3 linked regions of the Lonchura striata genome follow. The protein of the gene in region 3 interacts with the protein of the main gene of each other region in a pairwise test. Links are inferred from orthologs where the notes say so. Each region holds a gene or a part of one and is shown on either strand. Other genes may lie near its edges. The genes, in order: NEDD9, FKBP1B and REL.

What was found.
Region 1: the proteins of REL (region 3) and NEDD9 interact in binary tests that used the Homo sapiens proteins (3 or more experiments, as listed by UniProt). The link is inferred for Lonchura striata from reciprocal best matches to the Homo sapiens genes REL and NEDD9.
Region 2: the proteins of REL (region 3) and FKBP1B interact in binary tests that used the Homo sapiens proteins (3 or more experiments, as listed by UniProt). The two-hybrid records come from large-scale screens. The link is inferred for Lonchura striata from reciprocal best matches to the Homo sapiens genes REL and FKBP1B.

The regions. Positions count from the first base shown.
Region 1 is NC_134603.1:91,623,256-91,627,002, reverse strand, and holds the start of NEDD9 (enhancer of filamentation 1), read right to left. Parts: upstream 2,155-3,747; 5' UTR 2,096-2,154; coding exon 2,084-2,095; intron 1-2,083. UniProt on the Homo sapiens protein: Scaffolding protein which plays a central coordinating role for tyrosine-kinase-based signaling related to cell adhesion. As a focal adhesion protein, plays a role in embryonic fibroblast migration.
Region 2 is NC_134605.1:106,845,924-106,849,670, reverse strand, and holds the start of FKBP1B (peptidyl-prolyl cis-trans isomerase FKBP1B), read right to left. Parts: upstream 2,351-3,747; 5' UTR 2,253-2,350; coding exon 2,216-2,252; intron 1-2,215. UniProt on the Homo sapiens protein: Has the potential to contribute to the immunosuppressive and toxic effects of FK506 and rapamycin. PPIases accelerate the folding of proteins. It catalyzes the cis-trans isomerization of proline imidic peptide bonds in oligopeptides.
Region 3 is NC_134605.1:25,355,033-25,358,779, forward strand, and holds the start of REL (proto-oncogene c-Rel), read right to left. Parts: upstream 2,401-3,747; 5' UTR 2,290-2,400; coding exon 2,283-2,289; intron 1-2,282. UniProt on the Homo sapiens protein: Proto-oncogene that may play a role in differentiation and lymphopoiesis.

The sequences.
Region 1 (3,747 bases), on a different chromosome or scaffold from region 3:
GAATTAAGCTATAATGAGCATTTCACTTATTTCTTTAAATGAGGCCTTATGGGCTATCACAATGAAAGTAAGGAGTGACATCCCCCAGTACAACACTGGGAGCAGTTAAACAGAGACAAATCTACACCTGGATGCTAAGCCTCCTCTGAAGTGATGATATGTCCCCAGGCAGCCCATTAGCATTCTACGTTCCTTTATTTCATGTGTACAATAAAAAAAAAAATGTTTTCCTATAGGAAGATAAAAGAAAGAGAGAAAATACAGAAAGAAAAAAGACCAAGTGTGCAGGTGTTTTCTTTGTGTGTTACACTAGGGATATGAAATAGATCTAAGAATGTTTGTCCCAGTTAAACAGCGTAACTGCTTCACAATTCCCAGGGAAAGTAACAACCATAATCCAGCAAGAAGGCTTTTGAGGCCAAACCCCTCAATCTTCTTTTTATTTATTTATTTTTAATGGCTTGTTCTTTTCTCCATCTAGCCTTCTCTGTCTAGAATTACGTAATCACAAACCAAATCCACAATGCTCATTCCCACAACACAGGGCAAAGGAAACATTACAGAACAGGGAAGACTTCCCCCTTTTGAGTCACCTTATCTGTCCCTATTCTTGCAGTGCCACTGGCCTACATACAGAAATCAGGAAGCTGTATAACTATGCAGGACCATTACTTTGCTACTGGGATACAAGTGTTGCCTGGCCCTGGGCAGCCTGAAAGAAGACTGTGAGCTTTGGACTAACAGCAACACTGTTCTTCTACTCCCGAGTGCCTGATGTTTTCAGTTCAGAGTAACAGCTTCTCTGGGCAGGTGTAAAGTCTACCTGGACTGATCAGAGGTGGAGTAGATAGAAGAGATGAGATTAATTTTATCTCAGACTTGAAATCAATCAGTTGTTTGAGACACAATTTAAAAAAGAAAGCCATGAGCTCCACATCAAAATTGTGAAAGCCATGGATTACCTTTGTCAACCCGCATCTAACACAATTTCTTTTCCCCTTGTCCTTCCATGAGATGGTGAAATTGGCAGTTGCTTTGGAAACTTAACTCTGACCTTTCCCAAAGTTTGGCTTGAGAGACCCTGAAAACTTGGCCTGAGCTCAGAGACGTACAGAACAACATAAAAACCTGTGCACATTTACCTGGGTATCACTCGTACTTCTCACACACACTGCCACTCCATCAGCACTCTTTCAGACCATGCTGCCTAAGTTTAGTTCCAAGATGGACTTCACTTCCAAAGTAACTTAGTCTCCAAGTATATAGCGTGTGACATTTCCAAAATCACCTTTTTATTGACACTGAAGTTATTTTTGGCTGGGCAAGGAAAGTTTTTCCTTCCCTCCCCCTTTTTTTCCAATCACACAAGATTACGGTATGTCTGTACAGTAATCTAATGCCCCGTGGGCAATTCTGTACCTTGCCCAGACATTTTTGAGTAATATTAGGATGAAAGGCTCCACATTTGTGTCTTTTGAAAAAAGTAAAAAAACCAAAAAACCAACCAACCGCCACCCCTTCTGGTAAAAGGTCGCTAAAAGCGATTTTAATAAGCGGGGATGATAGGAATTAACACGGGGCATAGGCTACCCATTAAAAAAAAATGTTAGGGTTCTTTTTTTCCCCCCTCGCTTGTGATCCATCAAACAGACCGCACCGTGATGAGGAGTCATCCACAAGCGCCTGGAAGGAGGTGCATGAGCTCCCGGGGAGGATCGGGGGTACCTGTCCCAAACGCGCCTGGCCATCACGCACCGCATCCCCACCTTTCCCGCGATCCCGGGCTCACCCCGTTATTCAGGGCCGGCACCAGCGGGAAAAGCGAGAGGAGCTCCTTCTCCCCGCACAGCCAACACCGACACAGCACCCGGGGGTCCCCGCAGCCCGTCCCCTTCGCTGCCCCCTCGTTTCCCACTCCCCGCCGACACCTTCCCTGGGGCTCCGCGCCTGGAGACAGCGCAGCGGAGGGCAGAAGGGAGACCTGGCCGGCCCGTGAGCACACGGCTCGCCTTGAGGAGGTGCGGAGGGGAGCCCCGGGCCGTCCGGGGGCTGCCGTGCGGGCTCCGCGCCCCGCCGCGCTCACCTTGTACTTCATGGCTGCGCCTCCGCGCCCCGCCGCATCCCCACGCGCTCTGCGCGCCCCGCCGCGCGCCGCCGCGCCAGCCCTGCGCGCTCATTTGCATGGCACCGCCCCCACAACCGCGCAGCCAATGGCCGGCCCCGCCCCGGCGCCCCGCCCACGCGCTCCGGCCGCGGCGGCGCCGCCGGAGGGGGTGCGGAGCGGGGCGGCGGGGACGCGGGTTCGGGACCGGGTGCGGCGCCTTCCGCCACTTCCCTCCGCCGATGGCCGCGGAGAGAGAGCCCCGCACAGAGCGAGGGCTGGCGGCTCTCCTCCCCGGAACCCTTTCTGCCTTTTCGAAGCTGCTCGCCTTTACTTTTCCCCGGCGGAAAAGGACCTGGGGGCACGGGTCGACAGGCTGAACAGGAGGCAGCGTGTGCCCAGGAGGGTATCCTGGCCTGGGTCAGCACTAGTGTGGCCAGCAGGACCAGGGCAGTTATCCTTTGTATTGGGAACTGGGAGGCCACGCCGCAAGTCCTGTGTCCACTGCTGGGCCTCTCACTGAAAGACCTTCAGGTGCTGGAGCAGGTCCAGAGAAGGGCAACGGAGCTGGTGATGGGTCTGGTGCAAGTCCTGTGAAGGGAGACTGAGGAACTTGGGGGTGTTTAGCCTGGAGAAAAAGAGGCTGGTGGGGGACCTGATCACTCTCTGTAACCACCTGATATGAGGTGGGTCTCTCCTCCCTGGTGGGTCTCTCCTCCCAGGCAGCCAGCAACAGGACAAGAGAACATAGCCTCAAGATGTTCAGGTTGAACAGGAAGAATTTCTTAATTCAAAGGGTGTGTAACCCATTTGAATCCGCTGCCCAGGAAGGTGGTTGAGTCACCAACCCTGCAAGTGTTCAAGAAGCAGCTGGACATGGCACTCAGTGCCATGGCCTAGTTGACATGGTGTTTGGTCAAGGGTTGGACTTGATGACCTCAGAGACCTTTTCCAGCCTAACTGATGCTGTGATTCTGTGAACCTTTTCTGTCCATCCCTCCCACAGGCATTTTTCTCACATGTAGCTCTTGGAGGCGCTGAACACTGCTTGTTCATGTCTTTGCAATTATTTTTATTCTCACTTGTCTTCAGAAGATATCTACTACTGCTCAAATCAATCTGCCAAGTGTTCACTTTGCCTGGTTGCTATTTTAACGCTGATTAGACACCAGAGGCCAAGAATGCTTTAATGGCCTGGAGATGTTCATTATAAAGAGTGACCATTGTAAATAAGGATTATTTGGAAGAGAGTAATAATTAACTCTGGTATCTTGGAAGCAAGAAAGAGTGGGGAAAATAGATGTGTGGTGATCCTCCATGCTTTTCAAGTTAGATCTCTTAATCAGGCATGATTAATATGGTACACACAATAGGAGGGATCTTTGTATAGGGGACATACTCCAGATTGTTTAGAGGAACGGGAAATAAATTCTCTCCTTTTTGCCCAAGCTGAATCTTACTCAACATTTTTAGGTCACAAATGGACTCAAGGCTATTTCTGATGGCCTAAGGAAAAATAGCAAAGAATAATCTTGTACTAGCAGATTACAAACATAACTACATTCCATAGTACAATGTTATCCTTAAATTCTCATGTGACTAATCCTCTAGAGAGGGATCCTATTGCTAAAATGGTTTCTTGATTG
Region 2 (3,747 bases), about 81 Mb from region 3:
ATAGTGAAAGGAAAAAAAGCTTAAATTATTTGCTTGACACAAGATGAAATTACCATTTCCATTTTACTTGTTCTAGGCACTGCTAAAGGTACTGAAACCTAAGGGATGACTCTCAAGGCTCAATTAGGTGCCAATGGTGTATTAAAGATACTAACCATGATTTCTCAAGGTTGGCCAGGGGAGTGCCCAGGTTCAGAAGAAATTAAAAATATCAGTGTGGTTAATTATTAAGGAACATCCTTGATAGAAAGTTAAAAACTGGGGATTGAGTTAGGTTGTCCACAAAAGCTGTGGATGCCCTATCTCTGGAAACATTCAATGTCAGGATTGATGGGGCTTGGAGCAACCTGGTCTAGTGGAACATGTCCCTGCCCATGGCAGGGGAGTTGGAAGGAGATGATCACTAAGGTCCCTTCCAACCAAACCATTCTGTGATTCTATGAAACTGAGGCTCATCTCTTAGTTGGCTTTTTGGCTGTTTGGTCAAAATTAACATGATAACAAGTTCTGCATTACAGAGCACTTCAAAGGGTATAAACCAGCAGGTAGCACACAAGCTATGGCCTTAGGGATCACATGCCAAAACCACATGAGCAATAAGTGGTGAAGGGCAGGATAATATGATGAACCAAGATTTACAACACAAAAATTGATAAAGTGGTACTTCTAAGGGCTACCTGAACAGCCTTGTTCATTGGCTTGGCTGGCTGGAATATCCCTTATTGCACGTTGCACAAAATGCAGCAGGAATCTTTTAAGGTCACCATGGTATGCTAAAGTGGGATCCATCTCTTTTAAATTCACAGCCATTTAAACCACGGGCAACTATCGCATGCCAGTCTCCTGGGCTTCCTCTATTGACAGCAAAGAATTAGCAGTGCTTTGAGAGAAAGCCAGCCTATCCAAAGGAAGGCAAGACAAATTATTCCCTCGAGATGGCCACAGAGAAAACCCAGAAGACTGCTTTAGACTAGCCAACTAACCTGAGAAAAGTTATGTGAGATGAATCCTACCGCCAATAAAACAGGTATTATTAAAATGATCCACTATTATACAGAGATCTGAGAAAAGCAGTTTCAGACCTTATGGACACACACTCTGCTCTGTGAGTTTACCATCAGCAAAGCCAATGAAGCTACATAATTTCACATCAAAAATAAATTAAAAGCAGAGATTCGCAAGACCACTGACTCACTGTGGCTTAAGACAGTGTTTAAAGTCAGCTGATTTTGATTAAGACTTGCAACCAAGAGAACTAATCCATATAGCCTTATTTGGAATCACATATTACTTACAATGACAGCCGTGATCTATTTAATAGATAGTAAGTACTACTGTGAGGTAGTTCCATCCTCCTTCCTACTCCCAACTCACCACCATTATTTATGTGGGTATAAGTATTCTTTTTTTACATCTGTGAAACCAAGAGAAGAATTCGATCTCTAGAGCAAAACAGCACAGAGGGAGAAGCCAATTAGAAAGCATACACAAAGAATGGAAAGATACTGGGCCAAGAAACTTAATCTGCAATCAACTTGAACAAATTATTTATGGTTGCATATCAGCCAGTGATGAATCTGGCCTATTATATAGCTACATTTGTATGTTAGAAATCACATTATCTTAAAAGAAAAAAAAAAAAAAAAAAAACAAAAAACAAAACACAAAAACCTTACGGAATTATAATGCCAAGGAAGAGTAGAACACTGCGAATTGGCTCACGAAAGCCAAGCGCCAAGGAGAGGTGACTGCCACCCGGGCTGCACATCAGCCCTCGCCAGCATCCCACGCTGGACCGGGAGGCGGCGGCTCCTTGCCGGGGGATGCCGGCACGAACGGTCGGTGGCCCCGGCGAGGCCGGGCTCGCCACCGGGGAAAGTTTGGGCTCCCCGCCGGGCGCTGGCGCTGACCCCGCGCTCGGGCCGTGCAGCTGTCAGCGGATGCCACAGGAACCCCGGCCCCCTCGCCGCCGCTGCCGCCGCCGCGACCCCGGGCGGGCGCCTGGCCGCGCTCCGCCTCTCCCGCACCGGGGGTTCGTGCCCGCGGCGCTGCGGGGGCGGCCGTGCCTCCCTCCCGCCCGCCCGCTCCCCGCGCTCCCCGCGCTCCCCGCTCCGCCGCCGGCGGGGACGCGGCTCCCTCGCTCCCGGAGCCCCGCGGTGTCCGGCCGGACCCTCCGTCCCCGCGCTGCGGGGCTGCCCCCGGCACGGCTTCGTACCGTCTCCCGGAGAGATGGTCTCGATCTCCACCCCCATGGCGGCACCGGCTCCACTCAGCCCCGCTCCCCGGCGCGGCCGGACCCCCAGTGCGGGCAGTGCCCCTGGGCGGCCGCGGGCAGGGGCCGCCCCGGCTGCCCGTCAGCGCCCGCAGCCAATGCGGGGCAGGGGCGGGGAGGACGGGGAGGGGAGGGGAGGGGTCCGCCCGCCCCCGCTCCGAGCGCCCGGGGGCCGCGGGGACCAGGGGAACCTTGCGGCGGGGGCATCCCCCGCCGGCATCGCTCCCCCGCCCCACGGCCGTGCGGAGGGTGCTGCTGCCATCCCTCGGGCAGGGCTGGCTTTAGCGATGGTGCCCGGCGGAGCGCTCCTCCGGGGGTCTCGCCGGCGTTTCCCCCCGGTGCCCGTGCCCGTGCGCAGTCCGAGCGGCGGAGGGCTCAGGGCGGCTGCGGGAGCAGGGGGTACCGGTGCGGTACTGCTGCAGGCGCGCTGGCCACACAGGGAAACCAAGCGCCGTGCTTCAGCCCGTCCAGACACCAGGACACGGCCGAGTGCGAGTGGAGGGTCGGAATTTCCCGGTACAAAGAGCCATGGAGGAAGGCATCCGTGCTCGCACGACGTGTGCGCTGAAGGGAATGTCCCCCCGGTTCTACCGGTGAACGGCAGCATCGGGGCAGTGGTACCCACCGCTGGTGACCCCACACAGCAGCAGCAGCGGCAAGTCTCCAGCAGGCTGGCATGACCTTGAGTTTCAGTGTAAAACAGTGTCTAAGTTCCTATTCATATCCATGTTTTAAACTGGAAAATCTATTTATGTGTGGTGTTCCCATGATGTAAGATTACATATTCAACCTTGCTACAACTACTTCTGGGGAATGTACCTGAAACAGACTATTTCCTCATGCACTTACAGTGTATTCGAATCTCAGGAGTTTCCACTGCCTCTAAAGGAATAGTTCTGTTTGCAGTTCTGTGTTTTCTGAGTTAAAAATAAAAATGGAACCACAACGTCATCAGTTTTTCAACTGAAAGAGCTGTCTGTATCCATCTAATTCCAACTTGCACTTCTCTGACATTGCTTTTTCAAGATTTTTATCTGCTACAAACTGGGTTCTCTTCAGGGAAAAGGATCTTTCTCTGTGTGGGCAGTTGTCAGGATGACTGAACTGAGGAATTACTGTGCTGGTTCGTAACTGCAATAATGTGGCCCTTGCTCTTGCATGCATGCTCTGAACTACACTGACCATCTCCACACAGCTTTTCACATTACTCTGATCAGACTGTTTCTTCTCCTGGGTGCTCAATTGTATCTATCTTTCTTTGTGGGTCAGATACTCTGAAATACCAGGACTGGCTGCCTCTCACTCCCAAAAATGGGCAGGTGAGGAAAATCAAGAGCTCACGCGAGTTCAGAAGCAGTAATGAGGGCTGAACATGGATTCCTTTCACCTGCCTCCCATTCCAGTGAATTCTGCATCTGCAGGTAGCATGTACAGAATAAGCAGGCACTTACTGAAGTTTATCAGAGGAGGTCTGT
Region 3 (3,747 bases):
TCATCCCTGCCGTGATTATCAGTGTCATCATGTTTTGTGTAGAGAGGAAACACACAGCATTGTTTGTGAGAATGAGAGGTATTACCAGCACTCTGCAGCCAAGTGTCCGGTGTTCCCTATTTCTGTAAATCAGCAATGTGCTTGTGAAGTGGCACAGCTTAACTATGTCACAATCTGCTCTCTCACACACACACAGAGTCTCTGTTAGCTCCCACACAGTCACTACAGATCTACCCTCCTCAGGTCTCACTTTGTGTGTCAAACAAATGTGAGATACACCAAAACACAAGCTCTCACTAATTCTAGAAGAGAAACACACAGCTATTCCTATTTATTACCTGCCTGCCCGCAACTACTCCATAAAGCACTTGAAATGGAAGAAAAAAAAATCTAGCTAATCCTACATCTAAGTTCTTAAGAGTTTAATTTGTCTTTGTAATTAATTCTAATTGCCTATACAGATGCTAGCAATAGAAATATTGTGCTACACATTATAACCTGCCTGTCATTCTTTTTGTTATTGAATTGTTTTTTCCCCCTCCTGTTCTGAATACAACACCGAATAATTTTAAAGAGAATATAGGAGAGCAAGTCTCCCAATTATATACGCAAGGAAAGGAGGCAAAAGCAATGACAGCTCCAAGAGTTCAGCAAGGAAAAGAGGTCGAAGCAGTGACAGCTGTAAGAGTTCAGCCACTTTGCTCATTCAAGAATTGAAGGGTGTTTTATTCTTACATTTTGAGCAATACAAAGAGGAACAAAAGGACAATCATTAAAACTCAGAACAGACTTCCATCAGACCTCTCCATGACAAGAAACCTGTGATAGTTTGAAGTTTAACACAGCCGGTGCCATGGGGGAGGAAGTGTGACATGCTGCCACCAAGCAAAGTGACAACCCGATCAAGGGCTCTGTCTCGTTCCTTTGCTCCGAACAAGCAGGCTCTGAAGGAACTGCCAATTTTGTCATTTTCTTGAACGGCCAGGAGTGCCCGGTGAACAGACTCTCCATCAGCATCTGCGTGTGAAAGCAGAGCAGCTGTGGGTCTTTGTGGAAGATGTGAAAGTATCACCCGAAACCCTCCGGCCCGAGGTGTCTGCAATGAGACACAAATGGGAGAAGCATCGCTCTTTAACTCTGATGTCACTGCTCTGAACAAATCCCTGGTAGCACAAAGTCTGTCAATTCTAAAAAGCAAGAATCTGTCCACTTACAACCTTCTGCACCACCTCAGGCTAAGCGGGAGGATGGCGAAAGCTTTGTTACAGCACACCCCAATTTAAGCAAAAGCAAATGCAAACATAACACGATTTGATTTGAAAAAGAATCAACCTACGGCTCCATAAACCGCCCAAATTCTAACAGAGACCAAACAACGCTCACGAACTTCCTCTTTACTATCGTGTTACATTACAAAACGGCAACCAAATGAAAAAAAAAAAAAACAACCACAAAAAAAAACAAAAGCTAGCTAGTACCAGGAAGTTCTAAACTTCACCCGCAGAAAAAATTCCTTATCTGGTTCCTAATTACACTGAAAATACATAAAGACACGAAGAAAAAAAAAAAAATAAAGAAAAAAACCCGAAACTGCTCTCTCCTGCTTAATTGTTGCCACTTTAAAATACATCATAACATTTAAAGCACAAGTCCAGCTGTTTTCTCTCCATGTTGATAGTTAGCATACCTATATTTTTATCAGGAGTGAAAGCTCATACCTTGCTACGTGGGAACAGAACACACACTCATGTTCTGAAAAGCAGCTTTGCCTAGAAATACTATTCTAATTAGTATAGCCGAGTTTTTAAATTTAGGGGGGTTTTTTTAACCCTAAGGAAGATACCAGAGACGCCTCCCGAAAGGATGACAAACTCGGTTTAATTTAGCCTCTAGAAACTTAGTTATGCATTTTGTTGTAATGACTCAAAGCACGATCCCTTATCTGCATTACTTTGCATTTGTGCCATCACTATTTCTCACAGTTCCGATGAGAACGGGATCCTGATGGGCACGACCCAACCTTCAGCCTGTTGCCTCCATCCCAGACAGAGACCCGCGCGCTTCTTTAACACCTAAACGCCCCCACTCCACAATTTTAAGACCGAAGAAATCCATTTGAAATCGAACAGCGGCATAAGATCCCGTAGCGACTCATCCGAACAACCCATCGCCGCTTCAGCCTCGCAGTGTAAACACCCGACGCGCCCAGCCAAGGAGGGCGGAGAGTGCTCGGAGCCCCCCGGGGCCGCCGCCCGCGCCCCCCGCCCGGCCCCGCCGCTCACCGGCCATGCTGACAGCTCCGCTCCGGCCTCTGCGCCGCGGGGCTCCGGCCCGGCCGCACACCTCGCAGGGACACACGGACGGCCGCGGCTGCCGGGCTCGCCGCCCTTTTCAGGGGGAATTTCCCGTGGGGCGGGCGGGCGGACGTGCGCGCTGAGCTGCGGGGCGGTGCGCGGCCGCCCCCCGCCCGCTCTCGCCCCGCCCGTCCCGCCCGGCACCGGCAGACCCCGCTCCGGGACTGCGGCTCCGCGGGGAGAGCAGGCACAAGTCTGTCGTCCGGTCCTGCCCGGTAGCCAAAAGTACGGAGGGAAAAGTTCAGCTCCTCTGCTTTCAGAGCGGGGCAGGTACAGCGAGAGCCTACTTCATTCCGTACCCTCGCCCTCGCAGGGCATCGCTCCGACACCCCCCGCTCTGTCAGCCTCGAGAGACCAAGCACTCTCCTTATCCGTCTTTTTCTAGGTTTCGTGGAGTCTAGGGGTCAGCCCAGGAAAGGGAGAGCTCCAGGGAAGACTGTACTGCAGCCTTCCAGTGCCTACCGAAGCCCCTCACGGGGTTTATAAGACGGACAAGGATAGACTTTTACCAAGGCCTGTAGCAATAGGGCAAGGAGGAATGGCTTTAAACTGACAGAGGGCAGGGTTACATTAGATACTGATAAGGAATTCTTTACTGTAAGCGTGGTGAGGCAGTGGAACAAGCCTAGCCAGAGAAGCTGGGAATGCCCTATCCTTGGAAGTGCTCCGGGCCAGGCTGGATGGAGCTTGGAAAAGCCTAGTCTAGGGGAAAATGTTCCTACCCACAGCGGGGGGTTGAAAGGAGACAGACTTTGAATGCCCCTCTCAGCCCACTCTGATTCAATAAATAAGCTGTACATACTACAGATAGACCAAGATTGCAGGTAAAGAAAGAAATAATCACCTGAGCCCATTCAGTCACAGTGATCAACTCTATCAAACCCTTGGAGCATCCCAGATCCTGCATCTCACAGCTTGGCCCCTACACAGCAAGGTGAAGCCAAGGAGTTGGACACTGGGAACAGCCCCATGTTTGGATCAGGTGGAGAGGTCAGTAACAAACAAACAAATCTGGGGGCAAATTAAAAAACACCTGAAAAAAGAGGAACACAAAGGAACAGGAAGGCCACACCTAGCTGTGGTGTAAGATTGCTTAGCTGACAATAAAATTTAATTTTTTTTCTTAAATCTTTAATCTGGGAGTGGAATAAACTGTCCCGTGTGAAAATGCAGTTAAATCAATTAGTATCCCTGAAAAAGAAAGATTAATAAAATAACAAGAAAAGCCTGAAAGAACAATCAAGTGAGGTACAAAACAGATAGGTTCTTGCTTTTTCCCCCCACTATGCTATTTCTAAAGCTAAGGTTATTGGGATGTACATAAATGAAGAACAGCTGAAAATGCTGTTCTACAATCTGAAAACTTATACACACCAATTCATGTAACTAAGCA